Linked DNA regions of Drosophila melanogaster. The gene in region 3 interacts genetically with the main gene of each other region. Each region holds a gene or a part of one and is shown on either strand. Other genes may lie near its edges.

Region 1 (5,721 bases), on a different chromosome or scaffold from region 3:
TTAGCTTTTAAAGTTCTAGCGATCTCGACGTTCATACATATGTTAGCAATAATACAATTTATTTAAATAAACCATAAAAGTGTTGGCATATAACTTTATAAAAATTCGCGTTCTTTGAGTTGGACACACCAATTTGAATATTAGTCATGCACTCTGTGGGGGGAAAATTTGTATGGGCATGACATCAAAGTTGGGATTGTTATGCCCGTAGAGCTTTGGTTGGGGTCACTACAATTTCCTCGGCCCTTAGTATGGCGTCCAAGCATTTCTGACCACTTCGAAAACCGACGATTGCAAACACCCAAGCGCGGGTGTGCTGCCTTTGTTGTTCCTGGCTGTTCTTTTCGCTTTTTGCTTTTTGCTTTCTGCTGCTTCGACATTTGTGCCAGCCAGCCGCGTTCATTTTATATTTTTCTTGTTCAATTTTTTATAAACAACGCACACACTTACGATTGCCCTGTGAGAAACGAGAGTCGTTTGTGGTATTTGTTTTTGTACTCATAAAAGTTTAATAAGCATGCCTCAGTGTTCTTTTCCTCGTGGTTGTGTGGGTGTACGCCGTACATCGACAATGGAAACCTCGCCGTTGCACCACCCCCAACCGAGCCCAAAGTGAGCCCCCCCACCACCACCACTTTGCCACACCAAGTATTATTTAAGTAATCATTTATCGTTGCTGCTCGCCTGACATTTTGCACGATGTTTGTCGGCTTTTGTTTCGTCTAACGAGAAACACCGGATCGATTGGGTTATATTGAGCTAAGTAATGTGTCGGCACACGGTTTCTTATCACCACATAATGCTCGTTCCGCGAACAGATCAATGTTTGTTGTCACACTTGCCCCGATGACCTCACTTATCTGTTCATAAATCCCACCGATCTTAAGCTCATAAAATATGTGCTCAAGTCTATTTGTCAAAAAATAAAGTAATTAAGGAATATTTGTCCAAACTGTCATCTGCAATACAAATACAATCATGGTTGGGTATCACTCAGTTATCAGTCTTGTGTTGGTGCTCAATGGTTCGAAAAGTGATTATTCGACTGAAGTCAGTCAGGTTATCAAACAATACAGCTACCAAACATTGTCTTTTATTGCTTAACTGTAAAGTCTTAGCAAAATTCCAATAAATGGGACTCCTTATCAGCGGAGTGCAACAAAAGATTCGCAGAAATGTATTAATCCTCTATTGAATCCATTTTTTACTGCTCTATATTACTTATTTGTTTTTCAAAAACTAATTAGCATTAGGGTCAATATTTCCATAACCAATGATTTGGGTTTTTCAAGTAATAAATAAATATGATCTTTAATTTTTTAATAATAAGTACAGCTTTGATTACGAGCTAGACAGATTTTCGGGTTTCAAACTTGATAATTGGGCATATTGACAAAAATATTTGTAAAATACGTTGTAGTAAGTTCCTCAAAGTAACTTCCTCAGAAACTATAGATTGAAGTTTTGATTCGCTAGTTCGGGGGCCATCTACTACCACCAGAAAAGCATTTTGCCAGCGATAAGCAGGCACAATATGTGTAAGTACAGTAGGCCCCCAATCTATTGAAGGCGCAGCAGAGTGCTCCATTTACGACAATGAAATGCAACGCAATAAACGACTTTGATAACGAGGTGTCAATGTAACAAAGTAAATAACGAGAGTCGCCGATAAGAAGCCGGCTTGATTTGCGCTTGAGGATAGTGATTCGCATAATAGCGCAATAATTAGCACTGCCTATATCGAAGATCCAGAAATAACTTTAAACACATGTGGTGGACTGGATTGGTGGCGATAAACTTTGCTGCATAAATACATATGTTCAAATCTGACGGGAGTGAGTTCCAACACGATATAGAAGAACTAATTGGGGAAACGAACTTTGAGCACCCTATAGTTTTAAGTATCGTGGCATTTAGAGTATATCTGTTCATTCGAATCTATATACAATATATTTTCAATATATAAAAGCCACATTACTACTTTATTTCAATTCAGGGTGAACTTTAAATGTAAAATATAGTTTCTCAGACCGTAAATACAATTCTGAATAAAGTACAATATTATATTGTATCTCCCTTTCATCTATAAAATTAATGATTTTAACCACTGTTAATAAATAATGGTAGTTATATAATGTATGCGTTTTATTAGTTGACATAAACGAAGAAACCCCTCTGCCAACTAACCTATGTAAGTTGACCGTCCACCTGGCCATTGATTGGAGGACCCACTATGACCAATGATAATCTACGGTGTCCACAGCAATGCGATCGGGTTTATCAAATGTGAAACGCCAAGGGGTTAGCTAACGTCGGCGTCGCTGACAATCGTAATTTGTCCGAAGTGGTAGAAGCCAGCCGGGTTATAGCCAGGCCAAGAAGTCATGGTGGAGAGAGGGGAAGCCCGCGACGGAGGAGGGGGCAGTAAGCGACCGACGACAGCGAGCAAGATAAAAGTGTTGAGCGCGCAGAAGTCGGCGACGTATGAAAGCAAGAGTAGCATGTGAATATGAGAATGATAGGGCCCCGTACGTCAGACACTTGAAAAAATAGTGCTAGAGTAACAGTTAAATATGTGTTGCCAAATGTTGTGATACCAGGTGTTGAATCGGGCCCCAACACATGGGATTAATTTACCAATGCCTTATACAAAAAATTGTATTATGTATTTATACAAAAAAGCTTAATTTTTTAAACAGAGGACATTAAATATATATAATTTTTAGTTTTATAGCCTCGCTTTCTCGCTGTGCAAGGGAGCGAGTGGGACGGTGAGATGGGGAACAGCTAATATACTCGATATCAGTGTTGTTGTTGCTGCCATTTGTGCTATTGCACTCGAAATTCTTGTTGCCTTTGTTTTTATGGGCTTTCCAGGAAACAACAATGAACGGGGAAGAAGAAGACCGGGAAACAGGAGCGTGAAGAACACATGTGCATGTGTGTGGGTATTTTGTTGATGTATAAATAAAGCGTCAAGTGGAAACACATGATGATGGTGCATCGAATTTGTGGCCAAAAGGCAGAGAACCTTCGTGAAGGCCTTGCGGAACCACCACACGCCCACCCACATTATTTGCGCAGTGCACATTTGCAGCGGAGTCCTCCCACCCACACACGCATTTATATACGTACCCCCCACCACTCGTAAATTTGTTGCTCTTTTTCTCCTATTTCTATTTACCTTTGGTACACAAACACCAACGCACAACACTGTGTAAACACACACGGCTGGCTGGTATCGGTTAGTTTGTATTGGTACGCCTGCCGCTGTTGCTCTTCGATATTTTTTATTATGTATTTGCCGTTTTATTTTTAAATCGCGCTGGCTTCACGCACACACAAACATTACACACACGACGCAGTGCGAGGGAGACGGAACGCACATGCACACCCGCACACGCACTGAGAATTTAGAAAAAAAAACTAGAGTCTCGACCAAAGGAAATCCTATCAGTTAAACGAATCCTTGAAAACAAAGTGCACTTGCAAAAGAATTCAACTGGTTGCGCATTTGAAAATTGCTCCGCATTCGAACAATTCCCTATAGTGGCTAAAAAACGACTGCCGCGTCTCTAGAGTTGGAGCGAAAGCGATCCACATGCGATACTATCGGACGATGAACACATGTGAACAATCGCTGTTAACAGTGGGTATCGATTCTGATAAATCTCTGCCAAACCGGGAAGATAGGAAATTCTAATTAGAAAATAAGTTGATTTAATTTTATAGAGCAGCGCAGTAAAATATTGTTAACAACCAGGGACCAAAGCTCGATAACTATGGTAAAACAAAATTTTTGAATTGTTATTACTTATAAATTTTTGACTTGGAATGCACATAATTAAACAAATAGCATTTAGGATTTTTCGTAAAGATGTTCTAAAAGAAACATTAAGACTAAACAAGTTACGAAATATATATCTCTATCGTGCTAATATTCCACTAAACTTTGTGAGTTAATTAAAGAAAAATAAGTTGATTGAAGTTATTATTTAGAAGTAAAATGAATTTGATGGTGGAAAACTCTGATAACCCGAAGTGCAACCCTCGCACCCCTGTTAAGTTAACAGCACTGTCGGCTGCTAAAGAATAAACAATTTGCGAAGCTAATTGCGATAAACAAACATTTATCAAAGGGGGTTTACACCCATTTTCGCATCATTGTGGCGCCGCAGATATGAGTGCGCATGTTGTCTGTACACACACGAGCTGCCACCCACACATATGCACCGCTGGCGGTGTAATTAATTGCATTTGATTGATTTGTCCACCGAAAGTCAAGGTTACCCCAGACGCAGAGAAGCACAATTAATGGTCTTTTGCCAACTCTTGTGTATTCTGCATATAAACATACGCGACTTCTGAATTTTCACCTGTTGTGCGCAGCAACAAGCGAGCATGAGAATGCCACCCCCGACCCTCTTTAAATGAAGAGGGTTGGTGCTCGGAGAGGGGTTTTTTTAAGGCTGTGCCCCGTCTAATCAATAGGCCTTAAATAATTAATCCATTCCACAATCGGCGCAGCACAGCAAATCACTCACCTTTCAGATTGCCTTTTTGGTTATGGCAGGTGTTGGGGGAAAAACGCTTTTTATCCTTAAAACAACACCGCCTGCAGCTCACGGCTGTTGGGCCACCTAATTCCAGGGCAAATAGTCTTAATTATCACTTTTAAAACGCACTAAATTTACGTTGTTTTCGTTTTGCGAGCACTCGAATTTTTGCGAACGCGACTACCAGCATATTTCGATATACAGCACCCCCGCAAAAGATGTTATCGCGTAATCGCCGGAGGTGCCACCTGTCACAACCGATGGCGCGCGTTTTAAAAACGATTGAGATAATCGATCAGTTAAACAATTTTGTAAATTTTAATAATAAAAACACACTAACATACAAGAATTACATAGTATATGCTGGTGTGAACACCCTCAAATTCATGACTATTTTAACAGTCGCAGCGCCTTGACATTGAGTTGGCAATACACAATATACAAAATGTTCGGGTAAATCGTAATCATTAATCTAGGAGTGTTATTGTCAAAGCAACACCATTGAATACGAGGTCCTGGGGAGCAGTATGTGCCAGGCGAGTCATTATTCAGACAGTTTATTGGCTGATATACTTTCGGCTTACGGCGATAATAAATCAATTACGGTTAATAACAAAGTTAAGCGCTTTCGGGTGTCTTCACTTCATCGCTTCTCTCCCTCACAACTAACAGCTAAAAAATATCTAACAATTAGAGCATGTCGGTGCTTCACTTCTATTTCCTCAGCTCATCCATCGATCGCGAGACTTAAGATCAAAGCAGTGCGTTTTTGGTGTGGTGTTTATGGGTGACGAGTGGCAGGGGCAGGGAGCTGGGCTATTTCTCAACCCGTCTCAAGTTGGCCAGCTCCGTGAGCCACGCCTTGATCAGATCGTAGGTGGAGAAGCTGATGCCCACGGCGATGGGTCCCTTGATCCAGTTCATGCTAAGTCCCTTGTAGAAACCGTTCTTGACGCCCTCCTCACTGTTTGGAAATCGTAATTAAAATCGCAATTAAAATATGAATAAAATCGTTGACAAAGATTTGCACGCACCGATAGATCTTGACGAGAGTCTCCAGGATGGTTGGGTACCGATCTCCGCCAGCCGTGTTCACCCGCATTGTCTGCATTCTTCGCCGCACAATGTCCAATGGATAGCTGGCCGTTTGCCCGGCGGCACCAGC
Region 2 (5,682 bases), on a different chromosome or scaffold from region 3:
GTTGCTCTCCACTCTCGTTGGTGTGCGTGTGCTTGTGTGTGTGTGTTTGTGTGGGTTTTAGAAAACCAGTATTTCGACTCGGGCTCAAAATTACTGGAAGTAGTTGAACGGCTAAAAGTAAATGCAACGCTAATGCATCAACAACTGCAACAGACCAGGCATCAAAGTTCAGCATTGGCTGATAGCCAAGCTCTGGCCATTTCGCAGTTCAATTTGGCCATTATTTCTTTGATATGATGGCTTAATCAGAAAAAATCGTAGAAAAATGCAAAGCGCACACAGATACATACAATACACACTTAGGCAAAAGTCAGCGCGTGCCTGTCGCCGTAATTAGCTCCAAAATGGGGGATTTACAGGGGGCACGGATTGGGATGCTGGTTGGAATCGGACTTGGACTCACGATGCCGTCGCAGCAAAGCGCACTATGGAATGTGGTTTTTCAAGCGCTAACACGCACACTCATACCTGCTGGGTTGCGTTGAGTCTGTTTCTGTGTGTATCTATGTGCTGGGAGGTGGGTGGCTATGGTTCTGAACCCAAATGGTTAACTATTTAAAGGAAACTATAATATCATAAGAGAAGTCCTTGCAAAATGTGACGATTTAGGCACTACTAACTAACTAACTACTTTTGGGTAATCCACTTGGCGTTTAGTATGATTAACTGGAAATAAAATACGTCAAAGTAAAATTCTGGAAACTTTTTATTGATTTTACTACAATTTTGCCTGAATGAACAATTAAAAGGTGATTTTTTGCCAGCGAGTGTAGCGTTTTGAACTATAAAGACGTCAACAACAATTGCCAGTTGTTCGAGTTTCCTACCCCCAACGATTTTTTTAACGGTTTCGATTCGAATGCACGTGCAGGCTTTTCTCTAGCATTTATTTGCATACATGCCGCAGCTGTGCTTATTTTTATGGTCATAAAGAAAACAGCGAAACAGTAAGCCAGAGCAAATAACTCGAACAATTTCTGCGAAAAGGGCATTGTGACAGCAGCGATCGTCTGTGCGAAAAAAAAGGGTAATATCGCTTTTTAAGGTTCTGGCATCTTTATCGGTTTCATAACTCGCTTATCTAGCCATACATACATACATACATACCACATCCACATATCCGGCTATGCGGTGGTGGTCTCCCGTCTCCCATTAGCATAGACTGCGTAGCCAAAGTTTTCGTTTTCCTATCAATATTTGCACAGTTGCTGGCGCACAATGCGCACATTCAGTTATTAATTTGCAGCTACAAGATCACTGAGTACTTGGTATCGACGGCCCGCTTTTATTCGCCTCCCATTTAATTTTTACTTTTCTGTTTGCCCGCCGAATACAAACATTTGCCTCAAAGTACTGTGCAAACAGACACCGCCAGATACGCCATGGAGTTCATTAAATTGTGGCCAAATGGTTACCCAAACATACAGCCAGCCAGCCAAGCAGCCAAAACTTCCAATATGCGAATACCAAATTTTGTGTATTAATTTATTTTCCAACGGGTAAGAAACAAAGAGCCCACAAAGAAAACCTCGAGAACTGCAGAGTCAACAAATTGAGTCGCCATTTTAGCTGGAAATTGTGTCGCTAGTTGCAGTTGCCCTATTGCTCTTACTGTTGCTTTTGCTGTTGCAATTGCAATTGCTGCTGATGCACAGAAAAGGGCACGCAGACGGCGGGAAAAGTGGCAGAGTGGAAAAATCGGGCGGTCTTAACACTAACTAACTACTACGCTTTACCTTGTACATTTGACATTACGAAATGCACAGCACAGTGCTCAGTGCTTGGCTAATCAGTGCGTTCTGGTATTCTGGTATGTTTGCCGTGATATCTGATGGCTAGGTGTGGGGGTAACTCGAAACAGGGGCGATAGTGCACACAAGACTCTTTGACTAAGCCAGCGCCAAGTCAAGAGGTGAGCCACAGGGCAGGTGAGACCGTCGCGAAGGGCAGGTATTAAATGGAGGGAGCATTCACTCTGGACTAGGGGATACCCTGGCGTATACGTGATATTGGGAAATATCATTCAAAGTCCATATTCCAGACACATAAATGTTAAGTAAGCTTATATTACTTAAAATACTACGAATTCACACACTATTGCAAGTGTTTTTTAATCTATGAGCTTAGTAAAATATTTGTAATATTGCACACTTTGCAGCTACCCCTCGATAATTGATATTCCCAGGGTAACGATAAGACCAAATAATACGAAATGCAGCCGAAAACGAAGCTATATTTAAAGTGCAGTACAGGGGAAAAATAAAAAAAAAACATCACAGCGATAAGATAAACGACAGCATATCGCTGGCACGAAACTACAATAAAAAAAAAAACACCTGAAAACGGTGGAAACTCTAGAGACCAACTGATACGGTGGCCAAATTCGGGACGACTTGGCTCTTTTGATATATGGGCAGCCAGTCAGTCAGCCAGATGATCTACATAAACACATTTTGATAGATGATGGGCGGCTTGAGGAAGATGGATAGATCCTTGCGGTGCACTTACTTTTCCCCTTGACGAACTCGTTCTTGTTCTTATCCTCCAGACTGGTGGGAATGGTGACTCCGTTGGCTCCCAGTCCCAGGGCGAAGTTGGCCCCGCCCCTCTGTCGATTTTGGGCCGAACTGCTGCGGTATAGGAATCGATCTCGATCCCGATCGCGATCTATATCCTGATGGCGCTGGCGATTGTTCTGGCGGGCGTAGCGATCGCGGGCCGCCGACGCGGGCCAAATGCAAATGCAGTGGGCCAGGAGCAGGAGCAGCAGGGGGAAGGGGCAGGGGCCGTTGCGCCGTCGCAGCAGCATTGTTGCGGGGCGGTGGGTGGTTTGGTGGTTGGTGCTTTTTGTGGGCGTTACTGGTGGGATGAATCAAGCCCTCTTCCAAGCTATAACCCCTGACGTCATAGGGGTTATTTTTTATTCGTTTCTTTTTCTTGAACTTGCGGTTTACTTTCGGCTTTTTGCTCACTCAGCTTTGCGTGCCAAAAATACAGCTTTTCATAAATTTGATTTCGACTCTTTCACTGCGTTTGCTGCGGTTGCTGTTGTTGTTGTTGTTGTTTTGAATTTAAGCTGTTGTCGTTGCAATTTGCCACTGTATTGGTGTTTACATTTCACTGTGTATGCGCGTGAGAGTGAGTGTGTGTTTTCGAGTGGGTCTTTTGAACGCGCCAGTGAGTGAGTGTGTGCGTGAGTGTAGGAACCAGTTTCACATTACGAGCCACAAGAGTCGTCCGAAGGCTTTCATATATATATATATATATATATGAGTGTATGTAAAAAATAAAATTTTTGTTATTTTTCAGATGTATTTTTCAGCTTCTTTTTTGAGTTCGCCAACGATTTTTGAGGTTAGAGAGGCGTGCGCAGGCGCAGCTCTTAGCTTTCAGCTTTAATTGATTGCCCTAAGCAATTGTTGTGTTGCCCCCGCAGCGGTTAACTTGCACAAAACACACACACTTGGCCATCATTCGAACTGAGCCACAACCGCCACAGCCGCGGCTGCCAATTAGCAGGGTATTCACAAAAATACGCTTAGTAGTATAGTATAGGCCAAAGGCACTTGGCTTACACCCCGTTTTTGGCTTTGGTTTTGGTCGTTTTGCGAACTGTGATTTCTCGGTACTTCGATTAGCACGATCTTCGAATTAGCAAACGCTGCGATCGAGAGCACAGATATGGCCGAGGATTCGAGCTCAAGACGTCCGTACTGAGCGATTCGCGTCCGCGCAGCAACAAGTTGTATTCGAGACTGAGGCCAAAGCCGCAGCCAAAAGGCGCTGCTCCCTCTCTGTCTCTCTCTCTCACTCTCTCGCCGTGTTTCTTACTCTCGATTGCGGCGAAAAGAGCGCGCACAGGTAAAAATAAAGGTGAACGGCGAAATCTCGAGCTCAGATCAGGTCAAAATAAAAGCAAAGCCAGCGATACAGCAACAACTACGGCACAGCTGCGCACCGCTGTCGCCACCTCTCGCTCGCTCAGTGCAGCGTTCCCACTCGCACCGCCAGCGGACCATCTCCATCCACAATCCACAGGTAATCGTAAACGTAGCAGCAGCATTTTAAAAAGTCAGCGTAATACGAAACGATACGGCCAGATACATTGGGCAATCTTCCCCCAGACCAGCAAATGCTCTACATATCATGGGAAAATGCTAAACGTTGGCCCTAATGCACAGAATCGAATTTAGCGCCATCTCAAATGAACGGAAACACCAACTAGAGATCTTAAGTTCGCAGAACATAACTTCAACTAACAATCTTAACATAGAGTACATGGCTCAGAGCGGTTAAGTATCCCAAGCTTGAAGAGTGGATACCAAAGAAGGACAATCTTTTTGCACAAAATATGTTGCTCGATATACAGGGCGTGTATAAATAATATACACACGGGATTTATGTTAAAAAAGTTAAGAAGCATTTATACGCAACAACCTCAGTTTTAAGATAGCAAAGTTTAGGTAGGATTAAGAAGGCGCCATAAATAGCCTTTTCAACTGCAGAGACGAGTTTTCCAACAAAGGAAAGTACTTGAGCAACAATGTCCTGATTTTCCCCTCCCCCCAAAATGCCCAATAGCAAAGACAAGAGCAAAAAAACCAATGCGGGGATTATCCGACAGCATCTTAACTCCGACAGCTGTGCAGGGCATTTAAGATTCGCATCGATTGCAGGTCGTTCCCAGGTAAGATCTTGTGTATATCCCAATTTCTTGACACTGCTGCTGTTGTTGTTGTTGTTGTTGGAGGTTCTGTTGTTGCGGCGAATTTGAGAGCGTTCAGGTAAAGCGATCGCCGCTCTCTCACCTGGCTGTATATACATGGGTATGTGTGGGCAATGCTGCCATATAAGCACAAAAGATCTCGGCAATTGTATCTGTATCTGTGTGTGTTTGTGTGTGTAACTGTGCCCGCATCTGCATCTGTGTCTGTGAGCCGAGCCTGCGTGGGCCATGGATTGTCTTTTGGCAAAAAGATTTTTGTACGAGCGTTGTCAACATTGTTAGGGCAGATCCAAGACCGAGATCTCGTTGGCCTCTTCTTCACCTGTTCCCAGCCCACAAGAAATCGGGGTTTTTACGCCTGCGCCATGTGCTCTGCGGGATCGGGCCAAAAGGACACTGTTTCGGCAGGTAAATCCGAAGCGTTTTGACCTTTTTCACTTTGCCATAACAGAAATACAAAAGGTGCACTTGGAAAAGCGCAACTAACTCCTCGGTCCACATTTGAATCTCGAATCCCACGCTGTGACTCTCGAGAGGCGTTGCATTGTCTTGCTCGGCGCTTTGTTTCAGAGCATGAAAATACATTTAAATTGAAAAGCATTTCCACAGATTTCCACGATGGGGTAAAAGCGCCATGCTCCGGTCTGCAGCCATAATCAAACATATTAATAGCCGTCTGTCCCAAGCCAGAAGACCTCAATCAAAAGGTACACTGCCCAAACCGTACGGAATCATCTGTCAAAATCGAAGAGCATGCAACTGACAGCCGAACATCGAGTTGAGAACGATCTTAGAACTCAGAACTCTGAAACCACTTCAGGGCACTCCACCAACTCCGCCAGTACGAACCACAGGTAAACGCCGCTCGAGAGGTGTAAGATGCCGAGATTCTGAGATTCCAAGATGCCCCGACCCACACTCATAAACATTTGATCAAGCGTACAAAATGCCATGCG
Region 3 (7,192 bases):
GGCCCGGCACAAAGGACTGCACAAATGCAGTTATCTTGCAAAATTGTCGACACAATGCGTGGGAGCGGGACGGCGCAATGATGGGTTATTAAATGTTGTTAATCTTTTTCTTTCTTTTTTTTTTCTGTCCACCGCACCCCTGCGTCCACGGCCAGGCACATATTCAAATTTCACCGGGAGGAAGGAGGAAGGAGCAGGTAGTAGGTAGAGTCGGGCGGTGCGGCCGGGCCGTTATGACCAGGCCAAAAACAATGCCCCGAACGGAATCCGAAATCCGAAAACTGAAAACTGAAATACCGAAATACTGGTATGCCCGTCGACGTCGAGCCTCTTGGCATTTGCCTTTATTGTGCACGCTGTTTAAATATTTACCGAGTTTTACAATATTTATGACAGCTAAAAACATAACAACACCTACTTACCCAAAAGGGCTCAGGCCAAAAAGGGGACACTTGACACTGGACTATGGTCAAGAGACCCGAATCCGAATCCGAACCCGTACCCAAAACCAAAACCAAAACCGAACATAAAAACCATAACCCTGGAGCGGCTTAAAGTCTGGACTTCCTTCGATCGATTGCAATCAATAAACGGCTTAGGCGGCATTATAATGCATGCAGAAATGTTTTTGCTCAGCGTCTCGTGCTAATCCATTTGCATGTCAACATCTCCGTTTTGCCCTTCCCTCTGCCCTTTCTCCCTCTGTTTGGCCAGGACACTTAAGGACTCGCAAGGTAGACGGCAGTCTGCTTCCGTTCGCTGAGCGCTAATAATCCGAGTGGACTTGGCCATAAGTTGCCACTAAGCGCCCTAAACGGAGCTTGGCAATAAGCCAAGGCATTAAAAAGTAAATTTGCCTAAATCCGCTTAAAACAAAGCGGGGATTTCTCGATTCCAGACTGCAATGCAAATCGGTGACCAGGACAAGTGTAGCCGTGTTTTAGTTAACCCCGGGGATAAGCGTCAGCTCATCTGCCCCCTGATCCCGGCACCTTAGCATTCCCGCAAGAGCTAATGCCACCGATGATGATGGTGATCAGCTTTACGAGTATATGTAGTTCTGATGCACTTGGCGCGAACTTTCATTGAGTGGTTCCATTGATCACAGTCCATTCATTTCCTCTGGGTTTCTGGGCACAGGTAGACAAGCAGGTGGGGATCGGAATCGGAATCGGGATCGGGATCGGTTTCGGTATCGAGGGGAACTGGGAGCCTGACGTGCTAATAGTTTGACGCCGCTGGAGATCATAAAACCCATGACCCATGGAGGAGCCATAAAGACGCATCCAAGGCGCAGCAGAAAGCGAATCCGCAGAAAGTGGGTCAAGGGAATTGGAGTAATTGACTCCCCCAGGTATAGGGATTCAATGTACGCGAAAGTGTTGGCCACATAAGATAGGTTGGTTGATAGGTTTTTGATGGTAAAAGATATAAAAATATATAGAATTGAATTCGATATTCGGGTATTTCAATTTTGAAATATAAGATAAAAACGTTGAACCTCAAAATGGGAAGTACGAAGTTCTTTTCCATCATAAATTTAAGTATATCCAAATGGATATATGTATACCATTTATTCCCAAAAATGAAATGCAATCCAGATTTATTTTCAAATTCAATTCAGTTTATTGTTCGCTTTATTCCGCTGCTGGCTTAGTCATATGTCGGTCGGTTCTATAAATACGAAAATCGATTTCTAAGGGCGAGCTTAGGACTACGAAGGCATGGATGCGGCCACATGCCACCCCAATGCGATCTATATATAATATATATGTACAATTAGGTTAAATACGAACTAGTCAAGCACTATATCACAGATGTCGAAACACAAGCTAGCCTACGAAAAAAAAAAAATGTGTGTGTGTGTGCCTTAGGATCAAAGTTTAGCCTAAAGGATATGGATATGGAATTATGATCATGAATGCCATGGGTTAGCTTAGCCTACTGGGGGTCACATAGTACTCGATGCGGGTGCGGAATGGGCTACAAAGCGGGCGTGGCGAATAATACTTTCCAGTGGGTGGTGGTTGGCGGTTGCTCTTATGTGACTAGAACGGCAACTGCAGATTGTGGTTTCGTATGCTATATAACTATATCTCTCTCTCTATTTCTCTCTCTCTCCCTCTCTCTCACTCTCGACGAATGTCAATAAATACGGAATGTGGTAATACTTGCAATGAATTCGAGAACAGAGACTATGTGCTGTCAATCAAATAATTTACTTAAGCTACTATCGATCAATTAACGGTTAAATTAAGGATTTGAGGCTAGGGGTTTGTAGAACAGAGGAAAGGGGCGAGTCCTGAGGTAAGGGGAAATGGAAAGATATGGGAATGTTGTGTATGCTATTTCACGTGCGCTGCACGCGCTTCGACTGGCGCTTTCCACGTCTGCCACGTGCAAATTGGTTGCTTCCACCACCGGAAACACCTGCAACATCTGCAACTCCAGCAGCACCACCGGCCACTGGCTTGGATACCTCGTTGAACTCCTTGCCATTCAAGGTGGAGCTGCGCCAACGCTGCTCCAGTTGATCCGCCAGCTGCTGCTGCTGCTGTAGCAACTTTTTCTGGCTCCTCTGCTGCTTCTTGTGGTGCTTCCGTGGCCGACTCCTTACCCGCTTGCCATCCCGCCGCAGCAGCTGGTACATGGTGCGCAAAAAGTCGTAGTAGTGGTGCTTCACAAAGCGCATATCGATCGAGTCCGCCTCGCCCGCCGCCATGGATGCACTGGAAGCAGCACCACCCATACCGGGCCCACTCGTCTTGGAGCGCAGCTTCAAACGCTTGTTCATCTCGAGACGCGAGATCTGTGGCAGCTGCTGACCCAGCATGGTGGTGCCGCCAACTGCTGTGACCGCCGCACCACTGCGCCGCTGCTTCTGGCGCGGACTCTGCGTCTGGTTGACGGCTGTCTCCAGCTCGCAGAGGATGCGCCGCGAGCTCAGGAGCAGCTCGCGCAGCTCGCGGGCGGTGCTGGACTCGCGGGTGATGGACCGCTGATCCCAGCGGATCTGCTGGCGCCTCAGATACGCAAAGCTGGCCACGTAAGTTTGCATGTTGCGGTACCAGCGCTTTAGGGCAATCTGTGGAAGAAATCAAAAAGATGGAGACAATTGTGAGCTATTTTCAAGATACATAGATACAAAGTTGATAACGAGATAATTGAGCTATTTTCAAGATACATAGATACAAAGTTGATAACGAGATGGATTTAGTAACTAGTTTTGACAACTAAGTTAATAGATAAAAAGTATGACTGTAGGATTGCTTACCGTGGAATTGGGCTTGAGCTTGGGCAGGAACTTGTAGTTGTGCGTGTGGAGGGACCACATGGTCATGTTGCGGATATCTATGGCCGAGTCCTGGCTACTGTTTAGGCTGCGGTACTCCCGAAAGGCGTGGCGCTTCAGCTGATTGAAGCTCTGTGGAGAAGCAGATAAAATGGGGAGCGGATTACATATGGATCGGGTCCAAAGAGCGCTGCCGTTTGAACTCACCTGCCTGGGACGCTGGCGATTGAAGCGATCACCCGCCGAGGGATGATAGTTGCCACCGCAGGGATTGGCCCACTCCAGGGCGGTGGTGTTCTCGTCGAAGTTGCGATAGTCGATCCAGTTGCTGTTCCGCTTTCTGTGGCGCTTGCGCGGACTAGCGGCGCTGGCAGGGATCGTGCCCTGATTGGGATGCTGAGCTGAAGCCGTACTGGAGGTGGTGCGAATGCGCAGGCGCTCGCTATCGATAACCGTTAGACCGCCGCTGCTGGTGGTGCTGCGCCCCTCGGCGAGGTGGGGCAACTGGGCGGCAAGGAGCAGGACGAGTAGGATGGGCAGGAGCAGGAGCAGCGGACGAGCCATCGCCGCATGGTAGCCACTTTCTCTTCTGCGCCGGAATCCGTTACCGCTACCGCTACCGCTTCCGCTGATGTTTCCGTTTCCGTTGCCGGCTGCCGTGGTGCTGTTTTTAGCTGTGGTCGCAGCGCACTGCCAACCAACTACTGTCCGCGGTCCGTATCGAAATCAGTGTGCAGATACAGCGAACGGGGTTACAATATATATATATAGGATATATGTGAAGGGTGGGGATGGGGGGTCAGAAGGGAAGAGATGTGGAGAAAAAACACTATGAGTATCGAGAATGCAAAAGTAAATTCAATTTTCTGCTACAACGCGCGACGACCAACGATCAACTGCTATCACTGTTCCTCCCTGACTAGATGGTTAACTAACTGGACTCCCTTGGGAGTGGATGGGTTACTGGGTGGGATTGGGTGGTCGGGTGCTTCGATGCTGGAGCTCTGAGGTGATCGGGATTACGGGTCGGATGATCGGCCGAGCCTCCTTCAATGCGAATGCAACTGCAACCAGACAACAGTCTCAACAATTTGGTTCGATTTTTTTAACATTTTCTCTATGTTTGTTTTGCGGTTTTTTTTGCTTTTCGTTGTTTTTTTTTTTTTGTCTTTTCCAGAGCGATATGTGTGTATATTGAGGGCGGGGAAACTTTTTAATTTAGACAATTAACTCGAGAGTAGCCTGAGCGAATAACGAAGACGTATCGATCCAAGTTTCGAGGATCTAATCTTCTCCAGGCGACAAATCTCTGCCTTCTGGCTTGGCTTGGCTTTAACTTCCAGTGTGTGAAAGTGTATGGAAACTTTTGAGGTTGAATTTTGGATTTGGGGCTAATTCTAAAATTTGAACATTTCAAATTCTCCATTCAAGTTAGCTACTTTATCTGACAGGATTAAAATTCGAGACTGAAGATCGTTTGCTGCTAAAAACGAACGGAAAGGATTCGCACAAGTAACAATATCCTGAATGGATTTGCATTTTAATGCAGAGCGAATTAATTAAACTATATAATTTAATCCTAATTCCCAAAATTGCAGTTGCTGTCACAGAATGTCCTTTTTGCTTAACAGTAGATCGTTGGTCGTTTCTTGTTGATAAGTCACTTGAAGAGTGGAGAATTGATATTGACCAAAATATCCTTTTCGATCGCTTCTCCACTCTCCAATTGTGCCTGCTCTTAAGTCTTGATCAAATTAAAAATAATACACACACCGCATTATAGATGAAAAATGGAATCGTTCAGGATCCTCGCGGGATCCCCGTGGTTTGTGCTGCGCCTGAGCTCCCAAAAGTCTGTACGTTAATCCAAATGTTCGATGATCGTTCGAGATTCGTTGTTCGTTGATTTTCCGGCGGTTTTCAATGGACACACTTGCAGCACAACACTCGCAAAAAAATGTATTTATATATAATATTTGTGAGACCACTTGACCACAGATCGAGTTCAAATCCGTGCTTCAGTTTGTGTTCTGATTTGGTGATTTCGATGCTTTGGAGACTGATTCGCGGACACTTCTGCTCGCGTTCGAGTGTGAAACCGAACTGAGCCCAAAGTCGCGCTGGATTTGACCAGCTTTCTTCGCTGAGAGGCTGCGGATACCAGATACCAGAATACCAGAGCGATACCGACCGACCACCGACCAACCGACCGACCGATGAGCAGCGCCAAAAGGCCGAAACCGAAACTGAAATGGGAACTGAGGCGAGCTGAGCGGCCTCTGCCGGCGTCGCTGCCCGCCGAGTGCCGACGAGCGGTACGCCATGGTCCGAGCCAGAAGAAGACCGCCGATTCGGACCGATCAGATTCAGATCCGAAGAACCGCAGGCTGTCCCGCTCCCGCGCCCGCTCTCACCGATCGTATTCGGGGTATCCTATTCCCAGGTCACCTGCACGTGTGTGCGTATGCGCCTACCTGGCCGAAGTGTGTATTGGTGCCGTCTTTGAGCCTGCCAACCGGCTGTCCTCGCGCGCCATCCCGCTCGCTCCTGCGGACCAGGGCGATCTTGGGCCGGTCGCCATTGCAACTGGAATTTTCCCACTTGCCCAATCCGCGTCACTCACTCAAAGAGCGGGAAAAGAAGAGAGGCAGCCTACCTGGTGCCCCAAAAGACCAGGCCTACCTGGCTCTGTCTCACTCTTCTAAGCCCGGTCAGCTAGGTCCTCTCTCTCTCTCCCTCTCTCAAACTCTCTGGGTGACCTTGAGCGGCCTGCTCACCCCTCCCAAAAAGTCCTGACATTCAAATCGGTCTAGAAAGTGATCAACGGAAATGACCAACATAACACCGCTATTCAGCTCGCTAATCCAGGTAAACTATCCATTCGAGAACTATCCACGAGGAACGTTAACCAATATTACATTTTCTTCAACTTTTTCTAACAACTAGTAAATTGCTATATATTTTGTATATTAAAATTAATTTAGTAATTATAAGGAATAAAGCGTAAAATAGGATAAAGCACTAAGGAATCAACCAATTGTGCAGTTACAATTCTTCTCAATACCAGTAGTAATATATATAATAATACATAATATATACATTTTTATAGTAATATTATTTATACGTGTTCGAACCACAATCAATATAACTGAAGTAGTGATTTTGGCACTCACAATCTATTATATATGTATATACCATTCAAATTCATTTGACATGATTCAAGTTGTTTAAATGAAGTTAATAATATACATATATATGCCTAAATCTGTTCGTATGGGTAATTAATTAATAAAGATTTACATAAAAATCGTAAAACATTAAGTTGTTTCATCATTTTTTGATACATTTATAACTCACCTCAAATTATTTATTTTGATAATCGCAGCGCTGATATTTGACCATCTCGATGAGTTCGGCTTGATATTGTCGCAATTCCGCTTTGGGTGGGTAACTAGAAGAAGAGTGTGAAATCTCTGGCCAGTGGGCCAGGTACTCCCAACTGGCGAACCCCCGGACGCCCATCTACCTAGGACATCCCTATGTCAAATATGCCCATATTTCTCCCTACTTTCGAGGGCTTGCACAATTGACGGTCTAATTAAATTGAGAGTTTTGCTGCATTATGGCCGCATTGTTTTGGGCAGCCGAAAACAGCTGTAGATGGTCAGATAGCGGGCCGAAACGGACAGCGGACGGTGTGTCCTTGCGTCTAACCGTAAGTGCAGCGTGCAGCAACTGCTGCAGGAAGCAGTTGTGTTGCGCAGCGGGGCCACTCGCCTTTATTTCGCCGCAAGGCAGGACGGACGCACAGGACTCGAATCTCGCAGGACCCACAACCCACAGAGAGGGACTCGCTCGCATATATCACATATATCAAGGTGGCAGCGCACACCTTTTGTG
Region 4 (5,685 bases), on a different chromosome or scaffold from region 3:
ATGGATAATTAATCTAGACGAAATTGGCTCAATTAGAGAATTTAATCCATTGAAAAAGCGCACACCCAAACCGAACCAGAATACCCAATTCATCAAGAACCACTGGAAGTGGAGTATCCATTCTTGTAACTCATCTTCTGGACAATAAACTTGGGACCCCTTTTAACCCCCCGGCAGTCAATAATCAAAGTATCGCTGTAGGCACCAGATTTCGCACACAAACAAATCGGCGAATGGAAAGGAGGAGGAGGAGGACTTCTGCCTCTGCTCACTGCCTTCCTCAATAGCAAAAGCAACAACAAGGAGATGGGGTGAAAAGAAAATGAGAACTAAAAGTGCAGACAAGAAGCAAGCAACAGAAGAAGAACTAATTGCAACGACAAAGCATAAAATCGATGGCAAGCCAACAACAACAAATGTAATGAAAAGCAACTACAACAGATAGTACAGAAAGAGGCAAGCGCGAGCGAGAGAGAGTGAGTGTGAGCGAGCGAATGCGCGTTGAGAAAATTGCAATCGGAGAGCGGGAGCTGCAAGAGAGCGAGAGCAGCCTGTTGGCCCCTCCGCAACCGCATCTACATCCACATGCTCCTTCCTACCAACGTGGGCGCCTACAAGTGGGCGGGACGGGGTGGGGGCCGCATACCAAACAAACCGCAAAAGGAGAGCGGCTGCTCGCTCGCACTCTCCCGCTCTCGGACAGCTGCCGGTAATCAATATTGATGATGATAGCAGCAGCCGAAGAAGATGAAAAGCAAAAGGAAAGGTGTCCCGATTGTTCGCAGTGCATCAAAGGTAAGCCAGGATATATTGCCAATACAAAATACGGTAATAAAATGCACTGCTGCTTTCTCAGCTAAACCATCAAAACCTTATCAAGCCCTACTAAACTTTAAGACTATCGGTAAAAACAAAAACGAAAATGGGATATAACAAAAAAGGCCTTTAGGAGCAAAAAATAGAAACAAAAAATAAATGGGTTATCCTCTAAAAAATCCTCTAAAAATTTATACCTTGCTGACAGATATAAAACTGAACTTTAAGGACACCAGGGTGTTAAATAATGCATAATGAAAATTCAACCGAGTTAATAACTTTTCAATCAGTGACTTTCCTTTCCTGTCTTTCACCCACAGGCACTTCCCACCTTTTCTTCGCTCTTTTCCTTTCCGCAAGGAAATGATTCACAATGCAAAAAAAATGGCAAGGGAAAAGGAAAAGAAAAACGAAGGCGTTGTAGGAGGAAGTAAAAGAACCCGAAAGAGCGAGAGAGAGCGATGTATGCAGAGAGAAGGCAATGAAAATGTTTATCAAACGAGAAAAGAGCAGCGACGAAGATGAGGAGGAGGCGGCTGCAAAAGGAACAACAACAAGCTAGAGATTACAATGACAATGCATCCATGAGATACTCAGATACAATTGAAATCGAATATAATTTCTCAATTGAATTGAGTCGCAGAATGTAAATAAAGCAACAAGACATCAAAGAAAATTGGTGCAAATAGGTGTTAAATGTACCGAAAGTGACAATACCCTAGATAAAATAATTAGTTATTTTTTTATGATGGTTTCATTCAAAAAGTTAACCAGTTGTTGAAAGATTGGTACTTTTCCGCTAGCAATCAACCCCGAAATTCCTACATTACAAAAAAAAATGAACTGATTGAATTCTGGTTTGGTCGACGTGACTGTCTGCACACGCATTTCTTTTATGCAGATAGATCCCTGTTCAAGAAACCCCAGCTTATTTCTTGCAACTTCTTGATACCGATACCTATGAAAGTAACTCGCAAAACAATCCAAACCTTTCTGAGTTTGTGCCATCGGTTGTATCAAAGAGTTGGCAGAAATCTGAAGTGTATCCGATTCCTAAACGCAAATATATCGTCCAGTTATAGTTACAAAATGGTGCATGGTAAGCAGAAAAATTTGCCACGCGGCTTGACAAGAAAACCGATCTGGCCTGAGGTTTATTTTGTTTTGCTTTGAAATCGGAGATGCGTTAAAAGGGATGATCATTATGATCGTGAAGATATTGTAGATTGGTTCAAGGGCATTCAAAGCTAATCAGATTTATTCATTTCAAGTTTGTATAAAAAGGGTACTCATACAGAGTGAATTTCATATTTTAGTTCATAAACTAGAAATTAATATTCTCAGAAATGCTGGTTGGTTTTTGCAAATCTACTATTATTGCACACCGCTGTTATTAAATACGTATCCATAATTCTAAACACTTGTGTGTAATTCGAGTTACCGTTAACCAAACAGAACACACAATTTTTTATATGAATTTCTACTAAAAATCACATATGAAAAAAAAATTACCCCATAATATCGGATGGCAAATAAGCAGAAAATTGCAAAATGGCACAAAAACAAAACTAACACTTGACTAAACAATCAAGGCGAAGCAGAACAGAAAATAAACAACAATGCCGGGCCAGCTGACATTATAAACAAAGGTAAATGGCACATAAAATACAGTAGAAAACGAAGGAATATTGGAGTTAATCAAATGCTTGGCCAGCTGTTTTGGAGAAATGGGAATGGAAAGAGGAAATGGGAAAAATCTAAGGTACAAAGTGCAAGCTGCAACAACAACTGAGCGAAAGTGAAGAAGCAGACCAAAAGGATGGGCACACACGCTGACACACACACACACACACACACCAACAATTACGCGACTGTTTTGCACTTTTGTTTCATTGAATTTCTCTGATTTTTCCTTCGTTTTGAAACATGTTTCGATTTGCTTTGCTTTTTTATTGGTTACTTTCTGATCGATTTGTTGCACTAAGAGGCAAAGGCCTCTCTTTTACATTTTTACCACACTTACGCGTATGTCAAACAATTTAAAATTACTTGTTTCTTGGCGTAAAACAATAAACTTAAAACAAGCGAACGGCCACGAATTTAATTTGGATGGGATATTAGTTTTTCGTTGCGTTTTGCTAATCGGACAAAAGGAAGGTAAATGACAGTTTTGACACTTGGCTGTGCACAAGCAAAAAGCGGAGAGCACTGCGAGAGAGTCGATTCGGAGAGCGAAAAAATGAGTGAGAGAGAGATGGAGAGAGAGAGAGAGGAATTAAATAAACGAAAAAGCGTGCATGAAAAATTGGCGAAAAAAGTTTTGTGCAAAAAAAAAAAGCGAAACGCCGAACTGCGGAAAGCAAACAATCGAATTCAACATTTTTTGTGCAAATTTTAACGCCAGGGAATTTTTTTCTTTTTAGTTTTCCTGGCAAAGGCGGCTCACACCCACACATACACAAACTCTCTCTCTATGTCTCTCTTTCGCTGCCACTCTCTTCAAATCTGCAGAGAGTCGGCAATCCACAATTTTTCGTTCTTTCGATTTTGCACATCTCTCCGCTTGTCACTTTACTTTTCGCAGCTCTTTGGCTTTTTGCAAATAAATTAATTTTTCAGCGCACATATAAATTTTCCATCAGTGCCATTTGTGCTCCGTTTTCTTATTCAATTTACACGCACACACAGCCGCAGCAGCAGCGCACACACATCTCTACATCTGCATGCCAGCTCGCTCACACACACAGCGACGCACACGTCACACTCATACACTCACACGCACGCACATACACAGTTTTTTCTTCGATTTTGCGCTAGCTCTCGCAGCCTTTTTTCGCTTTTCCTCGTCGTTTTCAAGGGCGCCGCGAGTTAAGCGATTTTGCAATACGTTCGCGGCGCGTTCGATTTGCGTTCTTTTACTTTTTATCCGTCTGCAGACAGCGAAAAAGACCAACAACTTGCCTTGCGTTTTTGTCCCAACTCAAAATGCCAATAAAAATATAATATCAAATAATAATACCAAATACTGAATACGGGATTTTTGGCACATATAGCGGTCACACTATACTGTTCAAAACTGATATTTTAGCATTTTTTGGTTTGGTTCTGTGCTAAATACAACTATCGATTGTTAAGTTCTACACGCAGGCGATTGTCGTGCGATATACGATATCGTTTACATATCGTTTAGAAATCCCTAGCGCAACATTGGCGCTCGTTTTTCCATTATTCGAAAATGAATTTAACATAAAATTAACATATACTTTAGAACTAAGTTATACTAAGGCGAGTGGCACAACTCTACTTTTATTTGATTGTTTTAGGAATCATTTTTGTATATAATGGGCTTATATAATGTCGATAATAAGTTCTGGTCAAAAATCGGACTATTATAAATTTTAATTATATTTATATTTAATATCATATCATCTATAATTATCATATAATATAGTTAAATTTTTTATTAGCAAAATAACTGCAGTAGTTACTCTTTTTGTGTCGAAATCACTGAAAAAATCGTTAAACAGATCCCGCGTCGAAGTACCGAACCAACAATTTTACATTTACATATATTTTACATTGGTTCGCTTCTTTGCTTTGATTTAGAAGCGAATTTCAACGAATCTAAGCGAATTCAAACGACTAAAATTCGATTGGTAAATCTTTATAAAAATATATGTAACAAATAATTTGAATCATTAAGAAAATTAATACCTTAACAATGCTTAAATTTGTATACTTTACTTGTTTTTATAAACAAAATAGATACATAGAACTGGCGCTCAGTTTTCTATTTTTTCTATTAAATTTTTCTATTGATGTTTATTAAAGCTTAAAAATAAACATAAATTATTGCCAGTAATTATGTAACTGCTTTTGAGCATTTCCTGTTCTAGCGCTAAGACTTCTCAAGAAAGTTTTGTGGAGTAACAGGTATCTGATAGTCGCACTGCTGCTTGTTACCTTCTTGCATTTATTTAACTCTTTGGTTCTTCTTTTAATTAAGTACCTTGCTGATACTCTGCTTGCTAACTTTAATCAGTTAAGACTTTAAATATATTCAACTCTTACCAACTTTCTTAAGCTGGCTAACGGGTATCTAATAGTCACACCATTCGACTAAGACATTCCTTTTTTCTTTTTTTTTTCGTCCTGATGGAGTTCAGTGAAGCGTTCTGATTTTCTTGTCAAAGCGGAAAGAAATCACGCTAATGATCGACGCACCCTCCACCAATTGAAACTCCACTAAGGAGTTCTATATATGTACATATGCATGTATATACAATTATATATATATTTATATAGTATATCGCAACTGACCACTTCGTTCGCAACGGAACGTGTTCGGGATTAGAATTAATTCCACTGACCAGCCCCGCCCCGCCCCGCCCACTTTCACACAGCGACTGCAGGCGACACCCTCGCATTTGGCCAACGTCTCATTTAAATTGCAGCAGGCAGGAAAAACATTTGGCAAACATTTTTCGCCCCCCAAAAACTGCCCCTTTTTTCGCTTGTGGCATTCAAAGGTTTGACGATTTGCCGTACATGTTTGGTGCGTAATTAGTGCAGACCGATGCGTTGCACCCTTGTGAAATGCCAAAAGTCCTGCGATCCACTCAATCGTGCTCACTGGCATTTTTTCCTTTTCTTTAACAATTTCCATTTGATTGCATTCGTGGGGAAGAAAATGCTGGCTCCGGCATTCATTGGGGTGACCAACGTTGGCGGGCTTAACTGTCATTTCCATGAGATGCCCATTTGGTCAAGCACACACTGAGCGAAAAAGGTTAAAAAATTACATATGTATATTTTTTTGAAATTGTTTTAATTTTTCTGTATTGAAAAATAGATAATATATAATAACTC

The links.
Region 1: of upd1 (region 3) and Stat92E, changing one suppresses a phenotype caused by changing the other (phenotypic suppression), as found in Drosophila melanogaster (5 studies listed by BioGRID).
Region 2: of upd1 (region 3) and Egfr, changing one suppresses a phenotype caused by changing the other (phenotypic suppression), as found in Drosophila melanogaster (2 studies listed by BioGRID).
Region 4: of upd1 (region 3) and bun, changing one suppresses a phenotype caused by changing the other (phenotypic suppression), as found in Drosophila melanogaster (2 studies listed by BioGRID).

Annotation. Positions count from the first base shown.
Region 1 is NT_033777.3:20,547,537-20,553,257, forward strand, and holds the start of Stat92E (Signal-transducer and activator of transcription protein at 92E), read right to left. Parts: upstream 3,572-5,721; 5' UTR 3,185-3,571; intron 1-3,184. Other genes in the region: DPCoAC (dephosphocoenzyme A carrier), read right to left, coding at 5,373-5,520, 5,591-5,721. UniProt on the Drosophila melanogaster protein: Might play a role in signal transduction and activation of transcription.
Region 2 is NT_033778.4:21,544,718-21,550,399, reverse strand, and holds the start of Egfr (epidermal growth factor receptor), read right to left. Parts: upstream 3,758-5,682; 5' UTR 2,810-3,757; coding exon 2,509-2,809; intron 1-2,508. UniProt on the Drosophila melanogaster protein: Receptor tyrosine kinase, binding ligands of the EGF family and activating several signaling cascades to convert extracellular cues into appropriate cellular responses. Known ligands include spitz, gurken, vein and giant-lens.
Region 3 is NC_004354.4:18,303,744-18,310,935, forward strand, and holds upd1 (unpaired 1), read right to left. Parts: upstream 5,549-7,192; 5' UTR 5,066-5,548; intron 4,517-5,065; exon of another isoform or gene 3,994-4,516; 5' UTR 3,857-3,993; coding exon 3,500-3,856; intron 3,425-3,499; coding exon 3,275-3,424; intron 3,086-3,274; coding exon 2,351-3,085; 3' UTR 1,611-2,350; downstream 1-1,610.
Region 4 is NT_033779.5:12,542,804-12,548,488, forward strand, and holds the start of bun (bunched), read right to left. Parts: upstream 3,809-5,685; 5' UTR 3,607-3,808; exon of another isoform or gene 2,840-3,606; intron 1,541-2,839; exon of another isoform or gene 1,137-1,540; intron 796-1,136; exon of another isoform or gene 373-795; intron 1-372. UniProt on the Drosophila melanogaster protein: Probable transcription factor required for peripheral nervous system morphogenesis, eye development and oogenesis.